7 linked regions of the Cricetulus griseus genome follow. The protein of the gene in region 2 binds, or shares a complex with, the protein of the main gene of each other region. Links are inferred from orthologs where the notes say so. Each region holds a gene or a part of one and is shown on either strand. Other genes may lie near its edges.

The links.
Region 1: Drc7 (region 2) and Iqcg share a complex: the UniProt entries of both Homo sapiens proteins name them as parts of the nexin-dynein regulatory complex. The link is inferred for Cricetulus griseus from reciprocal best matches to the Homo sapiens genes DRC7 and DRC9.
Region 3: Drc7 (region 2) and Efcab2 share a complex: the UniProt entries of both Homo sapiens proteins name them as parts of the nexin-dynein regulatory complex. The link is inferred for Cricetulus griseus from reciprocal best matches to the Homo sapiens genes DRC7 and DRC8.
Region 4: Drc7 (region 2) and Fbxl13 share a complex: the UniProt entries of both Homo sapiens proteins name them as parts of the nexin-dynein regulatory complex. The link is inferred for Cricetulus griseus from reciprocal best matches to the Homo sapiens genes DRC7 and FBXL13.
Region 5: Drc7 (region 2) and Ccdc153 share a complex: the UniProt entries of both Homo sapiens proteins name them as parts of the nexin-dynein regulatory complex. The link is inferred for Cricetulus griseus from reciprocal best matches to the Homo sapiens genes DRC7 and DRC12.
Region 6: Drc7 (region 2) and Gas8 share a complex: the UniProt entries of both Homo sapiens proteins name them as parts of the nexin-dynein regulatory complex. The link is inferred for Cricetulus griseus from reciprocal best matches to the Homo sapiens genes DRC7 and DRC4.
Region 7: Drc7 (region 2) and Iqcd share a complex: the UniProt entries of both Homo sapiens proteins name them as parts of the nexin-dynein regulatory complex. The link is inferred for Cricetulus griseus from reciprocal best matches to the Homo sapiens genes DRC7 and DRC10.

The regions. Positions count from the first base shown.
Region 1 is NC_048597.1:56,495,593-56,499,988, reverse strand, and holds the start of Iqcg (dynein regulatory complex protein 9), read right to left. Parts: upstream 2,924-4,396; 5' UTR 2,698-2,923; intron 2,671-2,697; exon of another isoform or gene 2,521-2,670; intron 303-2,520; 5' UTR 240-302; coding exon 232-239; intron 1-231. Other genes in the region: Rpl35a (60S ribosomal protein L35a), read left to right, coding at 3,687-3,697, 3,904-4,056. UniProt on the Homo sapiens protein: Component of the nexin-dynein regulatory complex (N-DRC), a key regulator of ciliary/flagellar motility which maintains the alignment and integrity of the distal axoneme and regulates microtubule sliding in motile axonemes.
Region 2 is NC_048596.1:171,276,485-171,280,144, reverse strand, and holds part of Drc7 (dynein regulatory complex subunit 7), read right to left. Parts: intron 3,175-3,660; coding exon 3,046-3,174; intron 1,022-3,045; coding exon 949-1,021; intron 211-948; coding exon 82-210; intron 1-81. UniProt on the Homo sapiens protein: Component of the nexin-dynein regulatory complex (N-DRC) a key regulator of ciliary/flagellar motility which maintains the alignment and integrity of the distal axoneme and regulates microtubule sliding in motile axonemes.
Region 3 is NC_048598.1:15,668,535-15,672,194, forward strand, and holds part of Efcab2 (dynein regulatory complex protein 8), read right to left. Parts: intron 2,122-3,660; coding exon 2,042-2,121; intron 1,283-2,041; coding exon 1,240-1,282; intron 1,148-1,239; coding exon 1,081-1,147; intron 1-1,080. UniProt on the Homo sapiens protein: Component of the nexin-dynein regulatory complex (N-DRC), a key regulator of ciliary/flagellar motility which maintains the alignment and integrity of the distal axoneme and regulates microtubule sliding in motile axonemes.
Region 4 is NW_023276806.1:172,973,833-172,977,492, reverse strand, and holds part of Fbxl13 (dynein regulatory complex subunit 6), read right to left. Parts: intron 3,461-3,660; coding exon 3,343-3,460; intron 3,250-3,342; coding exon 3,087-3,249; intron 707-3,086; coding exon 587-706; intron 1-586. UniProt on the Homo sapiens protein: Substrate-recognition component of the SCF (SKP1-CUL1-F-box protein)-type E3 ubiquitin ligase complex.
Region 5 is NC_048597.1:155,926,396-155,930,710, reverse strand, and holds the start of Ccdc153 (coiled-coil domain-containing protein 153), read right to left. Parts: upstream 2,808-4,315; 5' UTR 2,056-2,807; intron 1,789-2,055; 5' UTR 1,779-1,788; coding exon 1,709-1,778; intron 1,683-1,708; exon of another isoform or gene 1,644-1,682; coding exon of another isoform or gene 1,639-1,643; intron 1,203-1,638; coding exon of another isoform or gene 1,198-1,202; coding exon 1,132-1,197; intron 38-1,131; coding exon 1-37. UniProt on the Homo sapiens protein: Component of the nexin-dynein regulatory complex (N-DRC), a key regulator of ciliary/flagellar motility which maintains the alignment and integrity of the distal axoneme and regulates microtubule sliding in motile axonemes.
Region 6 is NC_048596.1:200,184,116-200,187,775, reverse strand, and holds part of Gas8 (dynein regulatory complex subunit 4), read right to left. Parts: intron 3,416-3,660; coding exon 3,206-3,415; intron 496-3,205; coding exon 430-495; intron 1-429. UniProt on the Homo sapiens protein: Component of the nexin-dynein regulatory complex (N-DRC), a key regulator of ciliary/flagellar motility which maintains the alignment and integrity of the distal axoneme and regulates microtubule sliding in motile axonemes.
Region 7 is NC_048597.1:100,410,514-100,414,971, reverse strand, and holds the start of Iqcd (dynein regulatory complex protein 10), read right to left. Parts: upstream 2,806-4,458; 5' UTR 2,778-2,805; coding exon 2,010-2,777; intron 1-2,009. UniProt on the Homo sapiens protein: Component of the nexin-dynein regulatory complex (N-DRC), a key regulator of ciliary/flagellar motility which maintains the alignment and integrity of the distal axoneme and regulates microtubule sliding in motile axonemes.

The sequences.
Region 1 (4,396 bases), on a different chromosome or scaffold from region 2:
CAAATGCAACACATCTCTACATAGTTAAACAAATGCAGCATAAACAAAAGTAACACACCTTTGCACAGTTAAAGGAATATTCCATAGCAAAACCAAATGTGACACATCTTTGCCTAGTTAAAGTAATATTCACAACAGTGGTTTGTTACACAGTAACAGATAAATAATCCACAGAATTTAATTTTTACACATAATGTCATACTATATGTACAAACTGGAATTTGAACGTACCCGTCCATTTTTCCTGAGTTACTTCTGTTGTCCTCTGGGGTAGATTTATAATTTCACAAGAATGCAGTAAGCTTAAATGGGAAAGAAATGCCATTAGTTCAAGAGAATGCTGAATCCTGTTTTTTTTTTTATTTATTTTTTATTCCCGTGCTCTTTCACTAGGAGAAAAAAAAAATGCAGAATTACAAGAGCTATGGTTTGTCTCCTTCTCCTTAGTGGAGCAGACTCATGTGGTGAGGCTTATTTAGTGGTTGGCTTTATTACTGGTCTACCAAACAGAAGATACATGCAACGCAGCCTTTTGCCTCTTCTTAAGGTAATTTAAGTACAATTTTAGTATGTTTCATTGTATCCTGATTTTGAATTGGTAATCACTATAGAACAGATTTAGTTATTATTTTTCTATTATTCTCTCCTCTATATTGAATTAAATGAATCTACCCTGTTCTGTCAGATTATAGAATTTATTGTACCTTGACTTAGAACAATTGAGATCACATTTAGAAATACTATATTATTTATTTATTTTTTAAGACTGTATTTTTTTAAGCCAGGCGTTGGTGGCATACGCCTTTAATCCCAGCACTCACGAGGCAGAGGCAGGCGGTTATCTGTGAGTTCGAGACCAGCCTGGTCTACAAGAGCTAGTTCCAGGACATCCTCCAAAGCCACAGGGAAACCTTGTCTGGAAAAACCAAAAAAAAAAAAATGACTATTTTTTAAAAATTAATTAATTTTTTATGTGCATTGGTGTTTTGCCTGCATGTGTGTCTGTGTGAGGATGCCAGACCCCCTGGAACCAGAGTTATAGATAGTTGTGAGCTGCCATATGGGTGCTAGGAATTGAACCTAAGTCTTCTGGAAGGGCAGTCAGTGCTCTTAATTGCTGAGCCATCATCTCTCCAGCCCCAGAAAAACTATATTAACCCTGGAAATCAGTTTAATAAGTTATTATCCTTCAGAGCTGGGCATGGTGGCAAAAATCTGTAATCCCAGTACTTGGAAAGGGGAGGGTGAAGAATCAGGAGTTCAAGGCCATCCTTGGGTTAACATAGGGAGTTTGGTAAGCTATGTGAGACCTTGTCTTTGTTGCTAATGTTTATTTTTTTTACTTATGTGTGTGTGCCTGTTTGGCCCTATGTTCACCCCATGGACATACAGAAGACCAGAAGATTCCCTAAAATTGAAATTATAGGTCATTGTGAGCCATGTGATGTAGATACAAGATCTCTGTAAAAGCAATATGTGCTCTTAACCATTGAGCCATCTCTCCAGCCTAGTTGCTCTTTAAAATGGTCTAGAAGAGGTAATTCCAGGACAGCCTTCAAAGCCACAGAAAAAGCCTGTCTCGAAAAAAACAAAACAAAACAAATTGCATATGAATCTAGTTCTAGATCTGAGGCTCTCCTCTGACCCCTGAAAACACCCACATACATGTGACATACATATGTGTACATAAACAGTGTTTTGGTTTTCAAGACAGGGTTTCTCTGTGTAGCCCTGGTTGTCCTGGAATTTTCTCTGTAGACCAGGCCGGCCTTGAATTCACAGAGATCTACCTCACGAGTGTTGGGATTAAAGGAAGGCTGGTGCCACCACCACCGGGCTTCATAAACAATTTTTGTTGGTTGGTTGGTTGGTTGGTTTAAGGAAGTTATCACCTTTTAACATACCATATGCTCTATCTGATTGTTGTCTTGTGATTTTTTTCTGGGGGGGGGCGGGCATGAGTGAGTGAAGGGTCCTACTCTGTAGCCCAGGATATCCTTGTACACATTATGTCCCTCTGACTGGCCTGAAAACATAAAGCAATCTTCATACTTCAGTCTTACAGACACAAGAGCCAAAGTGCCCAGCCTGCTCCTCCATGCAGGCTGCAAGAGGGGGAAGTTTTTGCTGTTTACTGCAGTGCCCTCAAGACTACACCATTCTCTGTAGTGGCAGTCATGCAGTACTTGCTGAATAAATGAACGAATCCATCAGTCAGCGCAGAAGAATGTGAATCTGAGTCTACTAAATTCATCCTCACCTGACAAGTAAAACAACGGAGGAATGAATATATCTATCTCTCACCTTCCCCACTCCCTCTCCCCCTTTTTAGAGGGGTCTCCTAGCTCAGGCTGACTAGCAGTCCCTGTGTAGCCTTCGAACTATTCTCCTGGTTGCGCACCCACAATACTGGGATTACAAACAAGCACCGCGACCCGCGGTTTGCCTCGTATGTTGCCCTAGTTTAACATGGGTCCTTGCTATCTAACTCAGTCCGGCCTCGAATTTGTGACGCGATACCTCAGGCTCCGGAATGAGTGCTGAGATTAACAGGCAGGAGTCACCACGCCCTGTTTGTTTTCGTGAAAGATAAAGGCTTAGATAAGAGAAAAGACGAGAGCTTCCCCTGCCTTCGTGCTCCAGGTTTTTCTGTCCTCCATTCAAGGAAGAGGGAAAAAAAACCCTCCTTTTCCTCACCTTTCCACCAGCCCGGCAGGAGGCGGGACCCAAACTAAGGCGTAGCTATGGCAACGCGCAGGCTTCTTTTTTTTTTTCCGTTAGGACCTTTGCCTTTTTCTTAGTCGACTACAATTTTGCCTTTTTTTCCCCCCCGAAGTACTACGTGTCGCCGCTTAGAAAGTTGAAAGAACAGGAAAAGAAAGTAAAGTTCCTGAGCGCGGCTTGTCCGAGTCGAGCCTCTCTCCCTGATAGCTCTCCGGCAGAGTGCAAGCGGCCTAAGCGCGGCGAGGGGCGGGGCGTGCATCCCACAAGGCCGCGCGGCGGGCCTTGCCTTCCTCTTTCCGCCATCTTGGCGCCGGTGGAGGTGAGCGAGGCTCCCGCTGCTCAACTTTGGGGGCCGGTTGCTGGGGTGGGTTTGTCTGCGCCGCTCCCCGAGACCCCCCTGCACCTCGGAGGCCCTGACCGCCGTCCATTTCTGGGGACTCCAGGAAGAGGGAGGGCGGGATGGCGGAGATGAGGGACCGATGGTGTTGAGGCCCCCGGCCGTGGGGAGGGAGGCTCGCAGGTCCCGGCTGCTCCTCGGGCTCCGGAGGCTGCATTTCGTCCGTCTTGCTTGCCCGGGAAGCGGTGATGCCTAGAGGCTGCTTTCCCCGAGCTGGACCTTGTGCGTGTTACCTGTGCATTCTGCAGAGTTTTGCCAACTGGCTTAGGTTTGCCTCTGGGGTTTCTACAAGTTAGATCTTGAGTCTTCCCCGAACCTAGCTTTTCCAGGTTCCGGAGTAGTGAGTTGTCGTCATTCATTCTCAGAAGTCTTGAGTATTTTTGCCAGGCTCTACCTCTGTAGCTGGTATGGCAGAGTTAGGAGTTCCCAGTACTTGAAGTGCTACTGAATTCGCCCAACGTGCTCCAGAAAAGGAGTTGACAGGTGGGAAACGTGCTCCACGGCTCTAACTTGAGATCTTGTTTGTTTTCAGGCCTGCTGGGAACAGGACTTCTAAAAGGCAAACATGTCTGGAAGGTATGAGACTCGGTTTTTCCTTTTTTTTTTTTTTTTAAATCTTAACTAGATGTGAAACCCAGGTTTAAAATCATGCGGGAGGGGAACAAGATAATTTGCTTTCCATAGCTGTTGTAAGAATTCTTCAAAACAAGTCACGGTGGTTTGCCAGAAGTTAAATGAACAGTTGTAAAGTTTATTCATAATGTCTGTCTTGTGTGTCTTAGGCTGTGGTGCAAGGCCATTTTTGCTGGCTATAAGCGAGGTCTCCGGAACCAGAGAGAGCACACAGCTCTTCTCAAAATTGAAGGTGTTTATGCCCGAGATGAAACGGAATTCTACTTGGGCAAGAGATGTGCTTACGTGTATAAAGCAAAAAAGTAAGTGTGTTTGGATGCCTTTCAATTTCTGTTTGGTCCCCCTCATTTTTCTACTGAAAGAGTAGAGGTGTTAGTGTAGATTGTTGCTGTTGTTGATTTGCTTAGAGGCCACAAGGAGGAACTTAAAGGAAATTATAGAAGAATTATGTTGTCGGTGATAGTGGATATAGGGAACTTTGGCTTTTAGAAAAATTACAGTTGTAGAAAGGCCCAGGGTTCAGTCTCTAACATGGTTTTAAAGGAAAGATTAAGGCTCCCACCTCCCAAAGGTCCGACAGAATACTTGTCAATGCATCTTGGCTTATTTTAATTCCTTAGGATATTTTTGTGTTGTGTGTTT
Region 2 (3,660 bases):
CATCAAGAAAGTAGAAGTAGTATGTCCAGAGTCACCTAGTACATTTGGTTGTCCCCCATTCTGGCCCCCAAGGTGTCTTACACTGTAGGTCTTCATAGACGGTGAGGCGGCACACCAGGCCATTGTTGTTGAGGTATGGGGCCCACTTCTCCAGCTGTGCCCTCTTGTACCGTATCACTTTCTTTCCATTGGGGCAACGGGTCTCAAACTCTGTGAATGCAGAGGGGACTGGGGTCTCTCCTTCCACTCTTCCTAGCCATTCATTCATTTTCTGCATCACTTATAAAGTGCCTCCAGGACCAGAAACAGCCCCAGGGAGGAAGAAAATAGCCACTAGTGCTGTCTTAAACTCTTCCCAAGGCATCCACACCAGAATCCCAGTGCCACCCAAGAATCATACCTGTGACCCAGCCACCCACAGCCGTGGCAGGCTATCACCAGTGAGAACACTATGCTGGGATGACTTCTGACCCTTTGAAATCCAGCTCCAGTGGTACTTACTTCTTGAGCTGTGATGAGTGCCCCCACCCCAGGGTCCATGACCTCTTCTCCAGCACTTGTTACTGGCTGGAACAGCCTGCACTCTTCTTCTGGGTCTAAGTATTCCCAGATGGGCATATGTAGACAAGGAGCAAAAGGTAACCCACTCTCCTGCCTTCTTTGCCCTTGCCTCCTGGAGCCTGACCCCCTTACATCATCTGCTACAGGTCTTGCCTATGGCCTCCTCGAACAGGGAATTTGAAGGAAGGAAAGAGGCCATGTTCCAGACCTTGTTAGTCATGATGTTAACAATCCAGTTGTGTGCCAGATGGTGTCAGGCCCTGGGCACAGAGCTGGTGGGGTGTTAAAGAGGGGTGGAAAGAAAGGCTCAGTAGGCCCCTATGGCCTCTCTCCTTAGCTATGGGTACAGAACTCCCTGGGGGCTAGGAAGTGGTGAAGGACAGAGACCGTCTGGGGTGATCTCAATCTGGGCGACCCATGAAGGTGGCATGTCGAAGCTCTTATCCTCTTCTTCTTTGCCCTGTGAGGAGAGGAGGTGGATGCTGGCCAGGGCCCTGGAGCAGAGGCCTTGACACAGCTCTGTCCCTTTCCCCAGACCCAGGGTTAATAAGGGGGCTGTCAGTTTCCCCCAGGATCCAGGAATCAGGAGCACCATCAGGATGGGGAGGAAGAGGAGTCAGCTGGGGCAGACCCCATCCCCTACTTGCCTGGTCTAAGATGATAATGCCTGCTCTCATACTCTGCCCTTCCAGCCAAACCACCTGAGGCCATGATGGCTACTCAGGAGATCCCAAGTCAGACATAGCCATACCTTTAACTATACCTAATACCAGGTAAGGAGGGCTGGGGAAATCCTCTAAGCCTTGGTTTCCTTAGCTGTTACCTGGGAAGACTAAAGGATATCATGAACATGGCTTGAGACTCTGTCTGGCTGTCCATCCCCAGTCTGTGAAGTAAGGCCTGGTCTAGACAAATGACCCTCAAATTAGTCTCATGATATTCCATGTGTACACTTCCTGCCACAAACAACGTTCAGACCTTGGACACTTGCTCATCTAATTGTGACTTCTTTCAGGAATACACAAGGTGAGCCGTCAGCAAGGGGCATTGGCAGAACTTTTTGAGAAAGCCCAGAAATCCCAGGGCCAGGTCTGGTCCCATAGCTGAGTGCTGACTCTCAGGCTGTATCATCTGTCTATGTTGGAGGTAACAAGGACTCTCTCACTCTAGGGATGTGACAAGGCTTCCAACTCAGGATTGCATGCGCTGCACGCTGCTAATCCATGCTCACAGCCAGCAGGGGGCGCCAGTGCTCAGAAATGAGGAGTTGGAGAACAGGGTGACTCAGTCATTCTCAGGCAGCTCCCAGAGCTGAATCACCACTACTGAGAACCCAGATATGCCACACTGTTTAGGTTCTGCTCCCAGCTCTCTCACTTCCTGGGTGGGTCCTTTGGTGACTCATTTTGCCTGCTGTCTGTAAGTTCTCAGTTTCCCAGGTGGCGATTTAAATGAGTGAGTTCAGACTCCACACCAAGCAGAGCCTGTCTCCACACCAATATCACCTGTTGTTAAAACCATCACTCAGCCTCCCTCTAAAATCACACACCAAACCTTCACCCCTAGTATCTTGGAAGTAAAGGTCTTTAGGGAAGAGGCAATGAAGTCTAAATATGGTCTTTAGGTAACCTTACAATATGCTAAGTGTTCTTATGAGACAAGGGAGTTAGGACACAGACTCGTAGAGACACAGCATGAATGGCCATCAGCAAACCCAGAGGCTCTCAGAAGAAAACAGCCCGGTCAGCACCTTGACCCTGAAATTCCAGCCTCCAGTAGTGTGGGACTCCCAGTTTGTAACACTTAGTTATGGCAATGCTAGATGACTAAAACACCTGTTACTTGGCCTATGGATACCAAAGAGACTATAACCCTCACCTACTTTTACACATAAGGAGGAATGGAAGATCCCAAAGCAGGGGAATTTGACTAAGACCCCTGGGCTCCTAGTCTCTGATTTCTCACTCAAGACATCATGCAGGAAGCACCCCTCCTCTCTCCTCCCACACATATCCCTTGTTGGGAGATGACAGAAGGAAGGCTGGTGAGGGGATCCCCCGGGCCCATGATCTCTACAAGACCTAGTAGGAAGGACCTAGGAAGGAAAGGCCTTGATAGAAAGTCACAATGGTGACTAAGGAGGAGCTAGCAGAGTGGCCAGCCCTGGGCTCCCACTCCAAAAAGATACGCTTTCTAAGGATCAGCCCAACCATGAATAACAGGACTCAGATGGGAAAGGCTGAATTCAGGCACTGTCACTCTTTAACCCACTGGGAAGTCCTAGGCTGGCCACTGGACATGCCTGGGCCTCTGTTTACCCATCTGTAAAATGAAGGCTCAGTAAAGGCTCCTCTTCTTTGAGGAGTGTATGCTACATCTGGACTCCACACACATGCATGTGTTTTCAGGGGTGTCTTTCAGGTCAGGCTGCCTGATGCAGAACAGGTGAAGTCCCTCAACCCACCCTCAGGCCACCAGACTCACCAGATTGTCTATGTCATCATCATCATCCAGCACATCCTCATCCTCTTCAGTCAAAGACAGGTGAGGCTTATCGGTCCCCAAGAGCATATACTCCCATCTCACAGGGTCTCCCAGGTCAAAGACCAATTCCTGATAGAAAAGAAACCAACTGAAGGCATCCCCTGGATCCATGCCTGGGCCTGCTCCTAGGACGTGGAAATGACTGTTCCCAGAGGTTTGCAAGGACTGTGCAGAATATCAGCTTTGCTCAATCTCTAAGAGTCCAGCCACATTTCTTCATCTCCCATCCCATCATCCCATCTCCCCAGGAAAAAATCCTACAGCCAGTCCAGAGGAGACTCATCAGTGCCCTCTGCTGGGGCGTTGTATGAGAGCATTGTATGCCACTATGTGGCCTTTCTGAGCTGGCAAACTATTAGGAAATGACTACTTGTGGGGAAGAAATGTTTAAATGTGGATTGGCATGACGGAATTATGGAGGAGAGCGCAGTCATGGGAGTGATATGTGACTAACTCATCTGGTGGGGTCATTTTGCATGGAAAAGCAGCAATTCTGGGAGGGCAAGTGGTGTGTTCAACTCCTCCTTGAAGCATGTGCTGTAGGGCAGGCCCATA
Region 3 (3,660 bases), on a different chromosome or scaffold from region 2:
AGGGGATCCTGGATGGCAGCTATGGCTTTCATCTTACTCCTTCTCTCACTTCCTGTTTCCTGAGGGGGAACTGAGTTAAAATGGCCAAATCAGGTGTGCATAGAGCTTCCAGTACTGGTCTCCTTGCTCAAAATGATACCCATGTCCATGTCCAACTGATGGGTGACTGTTGCATCACTCACCACGTGGCCTGTGCATCTGGGAGCTGAAGATAGTGCAGGGTGTGTGTGTGTGTGTGTGTGTGTGTGTAGAGGAAGCAGAACTCCTTCCTTAGTGCAGGGTGTGTGTGTCTGAACAGCATTAATGATTGTCCATCATGCTGCTTACAGTTAGCGGAAACACACACACACATATATATATTGACATAAAAAGAGAACATTTAAGGAAATATATAGGTATTTGTCAGAGGAGGTCCCATTATCGTAAGAAAATACAGTTTTGCGTGAATTTGCATTCAATTAGGCTATATTGTTTGCAACTTTACCACCGAAGACAGTCTTTTGAAAGAAATTTTTATATACTATAATTCAAATCTTCTGTCTAAAAAGGCATTGGTTTATGATTGACAGCTCATATTAAGTGGCATGTCTTTTATTCAGAAAATATTTTAAGTGAATAAAGTAAACACAATTTATACAAGTAATCATTACACTTCTATTACACAAAATCAAATACCAAACCAAAATAATAGGAATAATAAATAAATTATTTAACCAAACAATTGCTTTTAAAGTATCGCCTCCCATAACTTTTGCATAATTGTTTAGAACTTATTAATTGGGCTGGAGAGATGGTTCAGCAGTTAAAACCATGCACTGTTCTTGCCAAGAACCTGAGTTCAGTTTCCAGTATCCATGTCAGGTTGCTGGCAACCATCTGTAACTTTAGCTACAGGGGACATGATGCTTCTGGTCTCTATGGGTACTGCATTCAGATGCACAGACACACACAGACACACAGACACACAGACACACACACACACACACACACACACACACACACACACAATTAAAAAATAAACATCTTTAAGCCTATTTATCTTTGCATAAATTACTCAAATAAGAAATAAAGTGCTCTGACCTTCCTCAGTCATGTATTTGATCAGTTCGTCCTTGGTCAGAAACCCTCGTTTAGCTGGATCCAAAACCTGGGGAAAGTAGATATATTTTCTTTGTTGAATAAATACTATATGATGAATTAGTTTTTCACATATACATGAATAATCTGGAGTTCACCCACCTCAAAAGCTCTGAGAAGGACATCTTCACCAATTGGTCTGTATCTGTAATTTTACAATAAAGTGAGTTAATGCCAGCATATTTATCTCAGTCTCTACATGATAAATGACTGCATTAGGCAAAATAAAAGCCACTAATATACTATGCTAATGGCATTTCCCTTGATGAAATTTCTTTGGATTTCTGGATATGAAAGTCAACAGTACCTACCCCACAGGAATGTTTGGTATTACCTATTAGCATTTTCTCATTGATATAAAAATAAATTTATCTACAACCAAAACATCTACAATCAATCAACTGTCATATGCTAATGCTGTCTTATGCTAGGAAAGTAACTAATGTTAATTTTTATTTTTAAATAGTAATTCACAGTTAAATATAACTACAATGTTGTTGGTTTTGTAGCTCCTTTTCCTTTTCATTATTTCTTGCTTGTATTAATAAATGCTAGCATGGTTTATATTTATAAGCACATCCCTAAACCAGTCTGCAGTACACTGAAAGGCTAGAGGAAACTACCCTAAGATATAGACTGGGTAAATAAAATATAAAAGGCCAAGTGGTTTGGTTTGGTTTGGTTTGGTTTGGTTTGGTTTGGTTTGGTTTTGAGGCAAAACTCTGTAGCTCAGGATGGCCTGAAACTCCATAACTAAGGCTAGCCTCAGGTTTGTGGCAATCCTCCTTCCTCAGCCCATCAATGCTGGAATTACAGGCATAAGGCATCACACCTGGCCAGCCAAATGTTTTGAAATTACTGCCATTCTAGTTATCTTGTCTTAAAATTGGATTTACTTCCTTACTTTCTTTCCAGAAGTGCTTTGGTCATCACTGGAAGAAACTTTTCAAAACGAATGTATCCGGTGGGTTCCTCTTCTTCCACCTGAACAATTAGAAACAGTCATTTATTCATTCAACAAATATACTGAGCAACTACTTTCTTTCAAACACTGAGACAAGGTTAGGACTTGGTGATGAGACTATAGACACAAATGCAGCTTGTGGAGCTTGTTTTCTGCAGGAGAGACACATACAATTCAGTAACCTGCTTGCCACTCAACCCTGAGGACCTAAACTCAATTCCTAGCACTCATGTCAAAAGCAAGGTGTGTAATTGCATCACAGTGGATTGTCACTCAGAGTTAACCTCTGGCATGTGTGCTCCCACACACCGAACACAAAAGCAAGTATCCAATTTGTTTTTACTATGCAAACTTGAAATGATCCTCCTGCTCAGCCTCCCCTATGGTGGTATGTCAGACATGAACCACCATGCCTGGCTTGAATGTCTAAATCTAGATCTATGCAAACACCATGAGCAAAGGAATGTGGGTCTAGTGGAGCACAGAGCACAGGAAGCCTCTCCCATCAGCGCATCAGGGAAGTCACTGGCAACTGTAGTGTCTGGGCTGGAAGAGGCTGGAGAGAGACCCTATCATCCCCAGAACAGCCATTCCCTGTTATCCTGAGAACAATGCAAAACCACAGACAGTCTCATAGGTGTGTGTTTTGAAAGGTCACTCTGTTGTGGATGAGGTGGCTACTTCAGACAAAGGGTGATGGTGCAGATTGGAGTGGTGGCCATGAGGAGAGTGGGTATGTGACCTTTAAGAAGACTTGACAGAGTGACAGCATTCACCCATTACAGATTAGGGGGAAAAGGCATCTAAAATGACTCCCAGATTCTGACTTGCACAAATGCACTGTCTTTCCGTGAAATGAGGAACCCTGAATACATCATCTCAAGGACCGACCTACATCTCAAATCATTCTTGTACTTATGAAATACTTTCCTGAGTACTAGAACTCTGCTCTGTCATCCTAAGTTAAGAAAATACTATTCTAAAGATGAGAGCTTTTGGCACCTAGCACTACAGAACGAGAAAGAAACAAGTCTTTTTTGCTTCCGGGTTCAACTCCGACCGACTGAACAAAGCTCTACTGACCTTAACTTCCATGTCAGGCAATTTATACGGAGCTATAAATCCTGCACTTTCTTTCAAAAATCCTATTAAAAGGCTCATAGATCCCAATTGAACAGATGAGTTTTTAAGAGATTTATTGTTTCAACAAAAAATAAATCTATGGGTGGCTATTAAGTAGAATACACTGTCATCCAAATGACAACTATTTTTAATGTTCATATGAGTCTGTATGAGTAGAGTCTTCAGAATCCATTATCAGAGAAAATCAAACCCATCTAGGGACATCATGTTTCAGAATTTCTGTACCATGTGAACAATTTCTTCAGCTTCCTCTAAGGTCTATGATGAGCATTTTGACAATTCATGTTAATATAGCTCGGTAGTCTGAAACTCCCAGAACACAGAGACTTAAAGGTTAAACATCTGAATGCAGGTGAGGCTCAGTGGTAGAGTCTTTATGGACTCTGGGGTTTAAACCTCAGGGAAGACTTTTTAAA
Region 4 (3,660 bases), on a different chromosome or scaffold from region 2:
GGACTCAGCCTGTGAAGTGCTGGGGTTTGGGATAGGAGCCCCATCTGGCTAATATAAAGTTGGAGGGAAGAAAGGTGGAGTAATATGAGACTGTCTTTGATTTCGTTTCACACTATGGTTTAGAACAATGCAAGAAAAGTGTTTTTCAGAGTCATAAAACACCAGCATGAAAACACCCTGAAGAGTAGACACCAGACATGCATGGCCAACCTCCACACTTCTCTCTCCTTGGTCTATGGCAGGAGCCTTAGTTGAGGCCACTGCCAAGCGAGGAGGGTCAGGATTAAATCAATCATCTACAATAGTCCTCAGGAAACCTGAAGTAGGGACAGAATCCTTGAAAAGTGCAGACAAGTCACACTATCTACACATCCATCTCTCTGTTCAGAATTAAACCCAGTAACAATAAGAGGGAGCAGCAACGATGGGGTTAGGCTACTTCCTTCTAAGGACTCAAGCCTAACGGCTATTCTAGCTCTGGGTGTGCCCAACATGCAGCTAAGGACTTGGGCTCTTGGCTTTTAGGTCTATCCATGGTCACGCCTGTTACAGCTAATGTTCTAATGCAGATTGTCGCTTGTCCTACCGCTCTGACAGTTTCACAATGGCGGGATCGCCCACAAGGGAGCAGTTATTCAAATTGAGTTCTCTTATCTTCACACTCACAGAACCATCAAGAAATTGCCTCAGGCCAGCATCACTAATCCTGTGGAAAAGAGAGACAGAAGGGTCACATATGTTCTCATAAATAAACATACAGGCTGGTGGTGACACCAGTTTCTACACCAAATACATTCCAAAGTAGGAAATATCCATACACTGGCGTTTTGTCAAATTTTTGAAAATGATTGCATAGCTCTTAATATAACAGAAAATGGATATATGATAGTAATAGGAGAGATATTAATAAAATGTTATTTGTGTCCATTTGTTTTATTAGGTGGCATGATTATTAATAACATGGATGATCTCTTTTTTCCAGTTTAAAATGTACTAAGGTTAAAAAATCCCTGATAGGATCAGCAAAAGGCTAAGGCCAAATTTTAGAACAGGAAGAAGCAAGACTCAAGATCCTGGATGGATTCTACCGAATTCAAGGTCACCTGGGTTGGACCAGAAACACAAGGGGTGACCTTTGGAACTCTAGGCCAGAGAAAACTTGCATCTGGAAGAAGTCGGTGACTTCAGCCTGTCGTCATTAGAAGCGCCTTGAGGGGCCACGCTATCTCCCTGTACTGTCCTCGGTCTTCCAGGAGGGCTTTACTTCTAATATTATCTGAAGACCACCAGTTGCGTCTCTAGAAAGCCTTTCCACCAGTGAAACAGGACAAGCGATTGATTATATCACACACAGACAGTCTACAGGAGGGTGTGCGGGCAGGAAGAGCACTCAGAGCCTTCCTTGCTGGCTGCACTTTCCCTTTGACTCGCCAGGAGCAGAGCAGAAAAGGCAGAAGGTGATTGTTTCTGTTGCTTCAATGAGCCAAGCACCCTTAGCCAAGCAGCTTCTGAGATGGCGTACTTACTTATAGTTTTAGGTTACAGTCCACCATTGAGGGAGGTCAGCTCAAAGCAACTAGTCTCTTCCCATCCGCAGTCAAGAGCAGAGAGAGCTGAAGGTACCCAGGCACCCAAGCTGCCTGCTGGGCATCTTGCTCTCAGCTAGCTTTCCCTCCTCATACTACTCAAGGCCTGTCCTGGTTTCCTTTCTGTTGCTATGATAAAACACTGACCAAAACCAGCCTGGGGAGGAAAGGGTTTACTACACCTTACAGTTTCGAGTCCATCATCAGAGGAATCGAGGACAAAAGTTCAGGCAGGAACCAAAGGCAGGGAATAAACACCGACCTCAGAGATGCTTGCTACTAGGCTCTAGACAGCCCAGGCCCACCCACTCAGAGACACCATCTCCCACAGTGGGCTAGGCCCTTCTACGTCTAAAAGCAATCAAGACATAGTCATGCCCACAGGTCACCCTGAAAGAAGCAATTGCTCAATTGAGGGCCCCTCTTTCAGGCTGTGTTAAATTACCAAACAAGATTAGCCATCACAGGACCCCCAAACCAGGGCATAGTGCTGCCCACAGTCAGGGTGGGTCTCCCATGCCAATTAACAAGCCCCCCCCCCCCAGACATGCCAACAGGCTAACCTGACAGACAGGTTGGAAATCCTTTCAGGTGATTCTAAATTGTGACAAAGTTGACATTAAAAACTATCATAACAGTATTCCAGCGAATGGAAACTTTAGTGATTCCCATGATGCATCTCACCCAGTCACTGCTGTACCAGCAGCTAGGAAGGCAAGCCAGAGGCTGGTGGGGTGGGAAGTGAGGCATGACGAAGAGCAGGGTCCAAACACAACAAACTTACCTATTAGCTAACACCAGACTGGAGTAATCAATGAGTAATGTTTTCACTAACAAGAAAATAAAATATAGAACCCAAGCTATAAGACTGAGAAGTGTGTCTCTGGAAAAGATTTGCAAAAGAAAGCAGAAAGGCAGCACTGTGGGCAAGGAAACAGGAGTGAGAGTTCACAAAGAAAGAACCCACCGGAAGCAGGACAGTTTAGTAACCTGAGACTCTGCTTAGTTTGAGATAGATTAGCTCCTTTCCAGGCACACAATGTACCTAGCAACCTCAGAGCCCCCTCAAGCCCCACCCACACTGCGCTACTTGTAAACCTCTGTGAGAAACAGTGTAAGTTGTCCTTCTCCTAACAACAATCAAACCTAGACAGTTTCCTTTCAAAAAGATTTCCAGATATCTAGAATGAAAAATAGGCCGAGCCAGCTCAGCTGGTTTTGGGAGCTAGTGCAATACAACAAAACTGTGTTTTCAAGTGAACTTTTAGGGAAAATCCTCTGCGTACAGTCTTGGGCCTATGTGTATGATTAAAATCAGATGCATGTGCCGTCAAAAATGATTATATAATTACTCTATCAGTCAAACTAGAAAACTCATCTACACAGTAAGACTTGGTCCCCTGCCTTTCCTGATCCCCATTAACACTGTGGAGAGGGACTGGCTCATCCTTGATAATGTTACTTGAACCCTGAGTTGACATACCCTGAATGACTTCTTACCTTATGCAATTGGTCAAGTTCAACACTGTCAATTGCTTCAAAACTGAAAGTGACTTGAGGCTGCTGTCTGTTAGTGTCTTGCAGTCCACCATGTAGATGTGATTGATACCTGGGTAATTCTTGTCTATGTATTTGAAGCATGCATCAGTAATCCTTTTGTTTCCTGTGGAAAAGAAGGAAATACAAGTACTATATTTAAAGGTCCAGGGAAAAAAATTTAAAAACAAGGTTAAATCATGTTTTTGGCTTCACAGACCTTCAAATCGGATCTTTTTGAGGTTACAGGAAGTAAGAGCTTTGAAAGCACAGTCAGAGATGTGTGGTGAGCCAATGAAAACCACCGTTGAAATTTGGAGACACTTCTCAACCAAGACCTTTGGGAGAGGAAAGAACAGAGACAGGTTAACTACTGTAGAGGACCAACAATGAGGAGATACTGTCATTTTCCCCTCAAGATTTTCAGAAACAGATATGCTAACTATTACATTTTCCTAATTTTGAAGCAAATAGGACTGTTTTCATATTTTATGTAATGCAGTATTTTCATATTTCAGTAATGCAGAGAAATAAAATC
Region 5 (4,315 bases), on a different chromosome or scaffold from region 2:
GAAGCCTTGGCTCTGCGGGTCTCATCCCTCTGGAGAGCTGTGGACAGTGTCAAGAGCCATGCTCAGGTCTGGCTGTGGGTCCTACAGAACCAATCACCATGGCCTCCATGAACTAAGTTCACCTCTGTGAACTTGGTGACAGGTGTCAATTTCGTATACTCTTTATTAGTTGCCCCAAAACCCATAGGGTTTTCATTCCTAAGTCAATAATCCCTCCATGTTCTGGCCACTATAAGACAATGGCTTCCCCAAGTTGCAGGTTAGCTCCATGGTAGACTACTTACCTATCATGAATGAAGTTGTGATTCTATTCCCAGCTGGGGGAAGGGGTGGGAGATAGCTTCTTTCATTGATCTTCACTGCCTAGCCCTTCCTCACAATCTTGCAAATAGATTAATGGCTATCTTGGTTTAGCCCTGCACACAGTTCAAACTTTCCAGTTCCCCAAGAACCCAGAAATGCCCTATGTTCCATACATTGGGTGGCTAGTTTATTGTCAACTTGACATAAGCTAGAGCCATTAGAGAAGAGGTAGCCTCAACTGAGAAAATGCTTCCATAAGATCAGGCTGTAGGCAAGATTTTAGGGCATTTTCTTAATTAGTGACTAATGGGGAGGGCCTACCCACTGTGGATGGTGCCACCACTGAGCTGGTGGTCCTGCGTTCTATAAGAAAGCAGGCTGAGCTGGGCATTGGTGGCGCACGCCTTAATCCCAGCACTCGGGAGGCAGAGGCAGGCGGATCTCTGTGAGTCCGAGGCCAGCCTGGTCTCCAGAGCGAGTGTCAGGATAGGCTCCAAAGCTACACAGAGAAACCCTGTCTCGAAAAACCGAAAAACAAAACAAAATAAAACAACAACAACAAAAAGGGAAGCAGGCTGAGCAAGCCATGTGAAGCAAGGCAGTAAGCAGCAACCCTTCATGACCTCTGTATCAGCTCCTGCCTCCAGGATCCTGCCCTACTCGGATTCCTATCCTGACTTTCTTCAATAATAAACAGTGATTTGGAAGCTTAAGCCAAATAAACCCTTTCCTCCCCAAGTTGATTTGGTCATGGTGTTTCATCACAGCAACGATGACCCTAACTAGGACTTCTATCTCTGCCATCTCCTGAGGCTTCAAACTTCTTACCCAAGTGGTCCTGAAGCAGCTCCTTCTCCAGCAGGACCATCCTATGCTTGGCCTCAGCCTCTGCATCTGTTCTGGCAAGACAATAGTCTCAGGTTATCCTTCTCTCGGCCTCACCCCAGTGCTGCTCTGCACCTGCACTTCTTCCTTCGTGATGGAGGAAGATAGCTGGATGAGGGAGGCCCAATGGCAAATCTGACAAATTTACGGCTGAGTGGCAGAGTCTTCACCCACCATGTGCACGGTGGGTGCTCAAAATAAGGGTGAAAAATATGATGAGGGCAAAGAACTAGATGGGGCTCCAGGGGGAATTTGGGAAGGAGGCATTCTCCACTTCCTCAGCCCCATGGAATCTGGACGCAAGGATCTGCAGAGGAGGGCCAGGAAGCTTCACCCTAGCCAAGTGTGGTAGCAACGCCTGTAATCCTGTCACTATGAAGACTGGGGCAGCCTGGGTCCCATAGTGACCCTGTGTCAAAAGAACAAAAGACAAAACCAAAACAAACCCACTCCATTTGTTGCCCAGAGGGCTGGATTCCCTCCGAGGACCTTTGTGTCACAGACACGCCCTGTGACTCACCAGGACTTGATTTTTTTTTCTTCTTCTGTGCCCCAGTTTTTCTCCCCTTTCCTTTGGTTTTAGGTGGCATCCTTGCTGCCCTGGGGGAGGGAAGACCTTCTGTGTAGGTCTGCATACAGAAATGCTCTCCTGACTCCTAGAGGTAGGGGTCTTGGGGCAGTCAGAATTCTAGTCTTCCAGTGTATCTTACACTTTCTAGAAGCTTTGGTTCTTGGTCTCCTGGGAACCCCAGGCAAGGCTGGGAGGTAGAGCAATTCTATGGGCAGCAGACAGCCCTTTTAGAGAAGATAAATCTCTGGACCTGGTCCCTTCTGTCTCCCCAACATGCTTATTCTTCCCCTTCCTACCTGGAGGACCTTCTCTTGCTTGAGTGCTGTCTCCCTGGGGAATAACACTCCTTGGGAAAGATAGAGTCCCAAGCAGATTGAGCCTAGGGAGGAAGGAGCCTGGGTCCTGGGAGCCAATCCAGGCTGAAAAACTTCCCCAAGAGGCAGGACCAAGAACTGGGATGTTGGGTTTCTGGAGACTGCCTGCTGCCCAGGCAACCGGGAAACACTGTGTTCATAGGCAGGTAGAATGGGCTAAATTGACTCACACAAAGGTCCTGTGTAGGTAGATTCCCCTCCTACCCGCAAAGAAAAGGTCTTGGAGCTGAATAGCTATTATTCATGTCTACACAGGCACTGCCTATCATCTGGAGACTTTGCAGTCTAGAAATCTAGAAGCATCCAGTGTGAGAGGCTAGTGCTTTACAGATGGAGAAGAAAGGCAGGGAAAGTAGCCATTGCAGGTACTTTATATCCCGAGGTCTCATGAACACAGTGACATGATTTGCTTTAGAACTTGAGGTCTACTTCAGAAATGCTATCTGTGGCTTGTGCAGGAAACACGTGCTGGCACAGGTAGTTGAGAGTTTTCCACTTAAGAGAAATGAGAACAGAGAAGAGCTGTGGACTTGGGGATGCTGACCCAGAAAGGAGGCCACAAATTAGGCAGAGTTGCGAACTGAGCTACTTAATTTTGCTCAGCTTGGATTTCTTGGTGTATAAGTTTTGTAGTTCCCTCCTGGAGTCCAGTTGTAGAGAGGGAGGAGGGATGAGCAAAGGGGTCAAGACCATGCTGGGGAAACTCACAGAAACAGCTGACCTGAGCAAGTGGGAACACACGGACCCCAGTCTGACATCTGGGGAACCAGCATAGGACCCAACCAGGCCCCCTGAAGATAGGTGTCAGTTGGGAGGCCAGGGCAGTCTATGGGGCCTCTGGCAGTGGAACCGGTATTTATCCTAGTGCACAGACTTTGGGAGCCCATTCCCTATGGAGGGATACTCTCTCAGCCTAGATACATGGGGGAGGGCCTAGGCCTTGCCCCAAATGATGTGACAGACTTTGATGATCCCCCTGGGAAGGCTTTACCCTCCCTGGGGAGTGGACGGCAGTGGGAATGGGATGGGGGTGGGTGGGCATGGGAAGACAGGACCGAGATTGCTATGTAAAATAAGGATATATATATATATATATATTATATATATATATATATAATATATATATATATACTCAGTGGTGTGTTTCTAGGACTTCTTTCTCTCCCGCTCAACAATTGTCTCACTCTCCCTATTTCTCTGTGAGGTTACTCTGCAGACAGGGTGTTTAGAAGCCCCCAAGCTCTCTGCAGCATAGAGTTGGTTAGTGCTCCCTCTAGTGGACTTGCTTTGACCAGAGTCTCCTAAATTTTGCAGTTTAGTATTTCTTGCACAATATGGGGGAGATTCTCTTTGGGGGATGCCTTCTAGCATCTTGCATATGATTTAAAAAATTGATTGTGGGTAGAGAGTGTGATGGGGTAGCTTGCTATTGCCCCCTCCATCTGGGAGGGCTCCATCCTGGAACCGGGCCATTACTGGGCATCACAATGGCATCATACATAGAATGGAACAGTAAGCCTTCCTTCTTCCCTGTGGATTATGGGATCTACAGACTCTTTTTGGGCACTTCTGTCTATTCCAGAATTTTGGTCAACTGCATATTATCAGAAGCAAATCTGCAGAAACAGGTATAAGACGTGGGAGGAAGATCTCTCACCTGTGAAGAAGAAGCAGAAGGTCAATGAGTGTTTATTTAACCCCATGGCACTTTAGAGATCTTAGAAAAGATTTTTAATTTTAATTTTTCATTTCGCTATATGTGTGTGGGTTTGTGCATGTGAGTGCAGTACCCAAAGAGGCTGGAAGAGAGCATTGGAGCACCTAGAGTTGGCCTTACAGGCTGCTGTGGGCAGTCCATCAGTATGGTTGGTGCTAGGAACCAAAGTCGGGGTCTCTGCATGAGCAGTGCTTGCTCTTAACTGCTGGACCATGTCTCCAGCCATCACTCTGTACATTTTGTAGAGGGAAGAGAGGAGTCAGACTTGCCTCTATGGTGCTTACAACCCATGGAACTTGGGGCTGGTGAGCCTTGTGCACACTTCCCAGATATAGAGGACATCTTTCTTCTCACTTTCCACCATGTTTTTATTTATTCTTCCTTCAGAATCTCCTCTTCCTGCCCTAGAATACATGGGAGTTCCTGCCCTTTCCTTTGTACGAGGAGCACGTTTGGGACTTCTTT
Region 6 (3,660 bases), about 29 Mb from region 2:
GGAGCTACCTTAGATTCACAAAGGTAACGAAAGGGTGAGAGTGACTTACTGCAGTGAGCATTCATGTGGAAGAGCAGAGAGACACTTCCAACTGCCTGCCTGAGGGGCCAGCTGAGCAAAGAAGGGTGAGGGAGAGACAAATTTGAACATGGTAGGAGACAGAGTCCTAAGTGTGTGCCAGGCAGACCTATAAGCAAAGCCAGGACTAGGTCACTCTCAAGCCCTAAGGCTATGAAGACATATCACAAGGGGATTACCATACCTACCTTCTGAATGAAACATGCAGAAGAAATGAGAGAGGGCCTCAGGGACCCTTCCTTCATCTAGAATGTTCACAAGCTGAAGCTGGGTACAGGAGCACAGTTCTATGGAGGAGACAGCCCTGAGGGAGAAGGTGGGGCTCTGGGGATGGGGATGAGCCATACATACCTTGCAGACCCGGGCCAGCTCATACTGTAAGTCCTTGATGGTGGTATTCTTCGATTCCAGAACATCCTAAGGAGAGAGACAAGGGCGACTTTAATATTCGTCATCTGATAGAGGTGGACACTAGTCTTAGGGTTAGAAAGGCTCAGGAAGTAGTAGTCTAGGTTGCCTCAGCCCATACATGCATCCACACAAGTTTGTCAGCAGGAAAAGTATCCAAGGCAAGATACTTTTCCTTGTAAGAACAACAAGAAGGGGACAACAGTAGAATCTTTGTATTGCCTACATCCTTACAATGAAGCACCAAACTGCCAAGATGAAACAGCAGTTGATCTCTGTGTGTGTGACATAGGACATGTGACACAGGACAGAGGTCAATATTGGGTGTCATCCTCTATTGCTCTCCATCTTTTGTTTTGTTTGTTTTTGAGACAGGCTTTCTCTGTGTTGTCCCCGAACTCAGTCTGTAGGCCAGGTTGGCCTCAAATTCACAGAGGTCTGCATGCTTCTGCCTCCTGAGTGCTGGGATTAAAGGTGTGCATCACTAGCCTATAGGGCATTTTCTTAATGATTGATGCAGAAGGGCCCCACTCACTGTGAGTGGTACCATCCCTGGGCAGGTGGTCCTGGGTATACCAGGGATGAGATAAGACAACAGGTTGATAGGACAGCCAGGGCTACATAGAGAAATCCTGTCTTAAAAAAGAGAAACAAACAAACAAAAGCAGGCTGAGAAAATATGAGGAGCAAGTCAGTAAACAGCATTCATCCATGGCTTCTGCTTCAATTTCTGCTTCAGGTTCCTGCTCTGACTGCCCCCCCCCCCCCCCGCCCCCACCATGATGCACTGAGATGTAGAAATGTAAGTATAGGCAGAAGACTACCCCCAAATGCCCGGCAGCTGCTTTCCAAATTACTTATAAATGCCCAGCCAGTAGCTTATTACTAACTCTTACATTTAAATGAACCCATAATTCTTATCTATGTTTAGCCACATGGCTTATTACCTTTTATCAGTAAGGCATTCTCGTCTTGCTTCCTCTCAGTCTGACTGGTAACTCTGTGACTCTGCCCTTCCTCTTCCCAGAATTCTTAGTTTAGTCACCCTGCCTATAGTTCCAGCCTGGCTACTGGCCAATCTGTGTTTTATTAAAACAATTTGAATAACAAATCTTTACAATTAAAAATGGAAGGTTTTAATTTAACATAGAAAGATTACTTACAACAAAAACAGTTATTAAGAATGATAGTAGGGCTGGAGAGATGGCTCAGAGGTTAAGAGCACTGACTGCTCTTCCAGAGGTCCTGAGTTCAATTCCCAGCAACCACATGGTGGCTCACAGCCATCCATTATGAGATCTGGTGCCCTCTTCTGGTGTGCAGATATACATGGAAGCAGAATGTTGTATACATAATAAATAAATAAAAATCTTTAAAAAAAAAAAAAAAAAGAATGATAGTAATAGCCAAGCGGTGGTGGTGCGCTCCTTTAATCCCAGCACTTGGGAGGCAGAGGCAGGCGGATCTCCATGAGTTCGAGGCCAGCCTGGTCTACAGAGTGAGTGCCAGAACAGCCTCCAAAGCCACAGAGAAACCCTGTCTTGAACACCTCTCCCCACAAAAGAATGAGAGTAACACTACCTAATCCATTTGCATTTAGCAAAATTAGAGAAAATACTCAATTTACACTACATGTAAGTGAAATAAACCCTTTCTCCCAAATTATTTTTAGTCATGATATTTTATCACAGCAATAGAAAGCTCAAATTCAGGTGCACACACCAACACAGCCAGCTTTTCTTGTAGGTGCTGGGAATCCAAACTTTGGTCCTCATGCTTCTACAATAAGGTTTTACCAACCATCTACCCAGGCCCTAATTTTATTTTACTTTATTTTTTTTTGTATGTTTGGTTTTCATTTTGTCTGTGGTTTTTTGTTTTGTTTTGTTTTTGTAGACAGGGTTTCTTTGTGTAGCCCTGGCTGTCCTGAAACTCACTCTATGGACCATGCTGGCCTCTGTTTCCAAGTGCTGGGATTAAAGGTGTGTGTCACCACTGCCTGGCCCTAATTGTTTTTAAAGGAAAAAAAAAATTGTATAAATTTTAAAACTCTACAGTTGCTGGGCAGTGGAATTCACCAGCCAGACACTGAGGAAGTAGAATGCAAAGTACTGAGCAGAGGTAATGAACCACAGGGTAGAATGTAGATTAATATAAACAGGTTAATTTAAGTTATAAGAGCTAGTTGGGAACAAGCCTAAGCTAAGGCAAAGCTTTCATAATTAACAAGAAGCCTCCATGTCATTATTTGGGAGCTGGCAGTCCAAAGAAAGTCTGACTATAGGCCAAGGCTTGGCACACACATGACCACGGTAAAACAGGGACACCAGAGACGCAGGTTAGGGATAGGGTTAGTGAGGGACTAGGACAGCTCAGGACAGACCGCAAAGCTACGTATGGTACATGCCCTTAATGGCAGCATTCATGAGGCAGAGGAAGGCAGATGTCTATGAGTTTGAGGCCAGCTTGGTCTACATACTGAATTCCTGTCTCAAAAAAAAAAAAAAAAAAAGAGAGGCAGAGCAGGGAGCAAAACCGGAAATGGACAGGTGCAGTGCACAAGGGCCTGTAGCACATGCTCTGTTCTCAGATGCAGAAACCATGGCAGCCCCTGACTTCACTGAGGGGGTCTCTGTGCCATCCAAGAAGGCAAAGCACAGGACTGAAAGACCCACCATGGAAAACAAACACTGTGACCCACAAGGCCATCAGCACTTACCTCCAGTTTTCGGGACACAAGCGTTAGTGCTGCAGGATCCAAGTTGGAGGCTGCCAGCACCTCGTTGAACTGCACCTCCCTCTTCTCCACTGCAGCATTCAGTGCCTGCAGTTTACGCTCCAACAACAGGTTCTTGAAGCCTGTCTTTTGCTGCACCTCCTGGATGGCTGCAGTGAATTTACGATAGAGGTCGTCTCTCTCCTGCTGCACCTGGGGACAATAAGACTGGAGTGAGCAACAAGGACCCTCACAGGAGATATCTCTTTAGGGAGAAACCACTTCCCACCCGCCCTAAGTATGTTGCTTCTGTAGAAGGGTCACTTTCACTATCGCCACACCCATGGCACATGGTCCTTTGCTGTCCACACTGCCTGCACTGTACCCTATGTGCACAGAATGAAAAGTTTGTAGTTTGGCACACAGCAGAAGGTAAGAGAGGGGAGTCAGCATTACCA
Region 7 (4,458 bases), on a different chromosome or scaffold from region 2:
TCCACCTAGGAAAGGGATCAGCAAACAAAGGCTCATAAGCCAGATCCAAACAGCCATACCTGTCAATAAATTGAGACACAGCCCTTTTGTTCTGATACTGTTTTTGGCTGCTTCCACACTAACAGCAGAGTCATGTGGAGACAACTGGCCCACTAAGCCCAGTGTGTGGATTGTGTGACCCTTTGGAGATGAGATACAGAGCCAAAAAGAAAGCAGGCTGCAGGAAGACAGCAGCTGCTGAGGACCCACAGCCATCAAGATGTGACAGATCTGAATTGTAACTAACCCTGGGACTTACTATAATATACTAACTAGTCAACTGTGGGTGGGGGCAGGGTTGGTAGCAATGTGCATACAGGTACACTTTAAGCTTCCTATAGAACCTCTGAATGTTCAAATATTCAAACCTGTCCATAAGATGAAACACAGCTCTGTGTTCACAGCTGTAGAGTAGCCTGCTGTAACTCTCTGGATATGTGCTTGCATGTATGTGCACCCTCACCAGTCATCCACCTCTCTCATTGGCCTGGAGCTTGTGGCTTAGGTTAGGCTGGCTAGCCCCTGGTCTCAGGGGTCCCCCATCCCTACCTCCCCAATGCTGAGATTACATAGGTACACCATCATACCAGCTTAAAAAAAAAAAAAAAGTGGGCTCCAAGGCTCAAACTCAGATTCCCCAGCTTGTACAGAAAGCTTTTTACCCACTCAGCCATGCCCTGACTGCCCTGGAATTCTCTCTGTAGACCAGGATGGCCTCGAACTCACAGAGATCCACCTGCCTATGCCTCTAGGATGCTGGGATTAAAGGTGTGCTCCATCACTAGCCAACCCTGTACTTCTTTTCATAATAGGCTTTCACTTTTCTTTTGTTTCAATATTCTTGGATTTCAGATTTCTTTTAAGATTGAATATAATTTTAAAAATTGTGTGTGTGTGTGAGAGAGAGAGAGAGAGAGAGAGAGACAGAGAGAGAGAGAGAGAGAGAGAGAGAGAGAGAGAGAGAGAGAGAGAGAGAGAGAGAGAGAAATTGTACACATGAATGCAGGGCGACATCCCTGGGAGCTGGAGCTACAGGTGTTTGTGAGTTGCTGGACATAGGTGCTGGGAACTGAACTCTTCTGCTCTGCTAGAGCGGTATATACCAGGTGTGATGGCACAGGCCTTTAATCCCAACACTCAGGAGGCACAGGCAGGGAGATCTTTATGAGTTGAAGGCCAGCCTAGTCTTCGGCATTCCAGACCAGCCATGGCTGTGCATTGAGTCCCTGTGAGTCCCTCAAAGGAACAGTATGCACTTTTAACCACTAAGCCGTCTCTACAACCCCTCCCCCATGTATCTGATGTCTCTCCTATGTAAGATGAAGAACTCACTTAGCTGGTAACAAAGACACCTTGCCAGCCCCAGAGCATCTGGGTGGGACTCCACGTAGGACATCAGGGTCACCAGCCCCACTTTTTGTATGGCCTCATCCAGGACTGACATGACAGTCACTTGTCTGGCTCAGTCCCCCTTTCTTTTTTTTGTTTTTGTTTTTGTTTTTTTTCGAGACAGGGTTTCTCTGTGGCTTTGGAGGTGTCCTGGAACTAGCTCTTGTAGACCAGGCTGGTCTCAAACTCACAGAGATCCACCTGCCTCTGCCTCCCGAGTGCTGGGATTAATGGCGTGTGCCACCAATGCCCGGTGCAGTCCCCCTTTCTTGATCCTTCTTGTCTTAGTGGCAGTGTCCCTGGTCCTTCCGGCCCGAGTTCAGTTCTCTCGTATCATCCCTCCATGGTGCCCTGTCCTTACCCTTCACACTTCCGAACAGCTGTCAACTAATTCCTTAATGTCCTGTGAGCTCTTGAGGCTGGATTTATTTAATGATATAACCTCCTAGTAAAATGCTCAGGACAATCTCTACAGAGTAAATGATGAGGAAGCTATTTGAATCAACGAAAGAAAAGCCAAGTCCCAAAGGGCTTGGCCCACGCAGTTCATCCCGGAACCTGAGGGATGCTGGGAAGTATACCTCTGCCTCCTTATTCTTTAGCACCTCCGCCAGCTCGGCCTGGAGAGCATCAATGACTTCTTGGTTCCTTTCATTCCTCCGGTTGATGTCCTGTATGAATTGGTTCTTCTCCCTTACTTCCATAGGGCTGGTGAGGAGCTTTTCAAAGAGGTAGCCCCGAAGCTCTATCAGGGCCTCAAGGAGGCGCTGCGCCCCCCGGCTTCTGCCTGGTGCACGTGCCTGCAGCAGTGTGATGATTTGGGATTGGCTGGACAGGAGCCTCAGGATGGCCTTGGTGGAATCTCGGAACTGGTGTGCCAGTGGCCACAGGTTGGCCTTGTATAGTTCTATAGACATTAGGCGGTCCCGGCACCAGGCTTCCTCAGCATCCGCCTTCTTTTCCTCCAGCAGTTTTTGTTTCTCCTGCAGGTTGCTGGCACCCTCCAGAAAGACCTGGCCGATGTCCAGATGTTCTCTGATGGCCCTCATCAAGTCTTCAGGGAACACTCCCTCCAGAGCATCTGGGTGGGACTCCACGTAGGACATCAGGGTCACCAGCCCCACTTTTTGTATGGCCTCATCCAGGACTGTCATGATTCTCTTGGCCTCGATGGTGTTGAGCTTGGATTTGGATGGGGTCAAGGTCTTCATTGGCATAACTGGGATTATGTCTGTACTCAGTGGGATTCTATGGATGGCCAGGCCATCGTAGGAAGGGGGCATGCTGAAGATGTCCAAGGCCAAGGCCATCTCTGGAGCGGCTGACTTTGCCTCTGTATACCCCGGCATTGAGACGTCAGCCAACTCAAGGTTCTCCTGGCTTTTCAGTCAGCAACCCTGCAAAGGAAGGGGTGGCTGTTAGGTATAATGGCCATGACACCACTCCATAGAACCTGGAAGCTACTTTTAGCTCTTTGGATTTTTGTTTTGATTTGATTTTTTGTTTGTTTGTTTGTTTTTGAAATAGGATTTCTTATAGCCTAGTCTGTCCTTACCCCTGACCCAAGTGCTGGGGTTACCTTATCTTTTAGCATTGTGATGATGCTTGGTGCTTGACTGAGCCATTGGAGTAAGAGGACTGAGGGTGGAGGGGAGTCCTGGGCACATATACCAGGCAAGAGACAGTCACTGTTCTGAGGACTTTCATATGGGGGTTACCCAAGTGGCAGAAATGTAGAGAGGCCAGCTTTAGGCAGCGGAGGTCACCTAGCAGTGTCAACAGCAAGAAGTCACACAGGGAGAAGATGTGAGTTGGGGGGACCAGGGGCAGCAGACCCCAGAGGAGTTGAAGCTGTAGCTGGAAGTGCTGTACAAGCAAAGCAGAGCGTGGAAAATGTGCTCTGCCCCTGCTTGCATTTCCTCCCCATGTTGCCCCAAACCAGTGGGAAATCAGCTGAAGAGCCTGGGTCACAGCCCAGCACACAGAGGAGGCTGGGACAAGGCACCACAGGTCACAGAGTAGGATGGGACATGGACACAGTAGAAAGGTCATAGAGTAGGACATTAATAGGACAAGACACAGACAGAGCTGAACAGGTCAGCTCTGTCCTGAATGACAGTGAATGTCCTGAATGTCCTGAATGGGGCAAAAGCAAGCAGGGTGGGTAACAGCGCACCAGCACATGTCAGGAATGTGTGTGTTTGGGTGTAAGTGTGTAAGTGTGTAGGTGTGTATGCCCCTGTAGTATCCATGTGAATAGAGTGTTGGTGTGTGTAGATATGCATGTATGTGTGGATGAGCATGTGTGTGGGGATGTATATGTGTGTGTAGTGTATGCATCTGTGTGCATGTGAGCACACATATTACATGTCCATATGCAGGCTAGAGGTCACCATTGGGTATCTTCATTTATCCATCTCTTACTTGTTTTTTGAGACCAATCAGTCCATGTCCTGGACCAGTGGTTCTCAACATGTGGGTCGTGACCCCCATCAGGTATCATGAATATTAGATATTTACATTATGATTCATAACAGTAGCAAAATTACAGCTATGAAGTAGCAACAAATAATTTTATGGTTGGGGTCACCACAGCATGAGGAACTGTACTAAAGGGTCACAGTGTCAGGAAGGTTGAGAACCACTGTCCAGACTAGGTTCTGAAACAGAGAAGGGCATCAGAGTAACAGCTGGGAAGCCACCAAGTTCAAGGTTTGGTTAGCAGTATTGTATCAATAGCGTCTTACCTATGTGTTTCTTTGTTTGAGGCAGAGCCTCCTGTAGCCCAGGCTGTCATGGAGCTTGCTATGTGGGAGAGGATGTCCTTAAACTCTGGCCTCCATCCCCAAATGTGAGGAGTACAGGCACTGCAGTCACACCAGGTTTGACAATGTTACTTTCTTAGTTCTGACCTATAAAGTAACATCTCGGGAATTGAATGAAGTATGCAGAGAACCTATATTATCTTGACAGGTTTTCTACAAATCCATAATTACTACAAAGTAAGAGGTTTGTCTGAGCAACTATCTC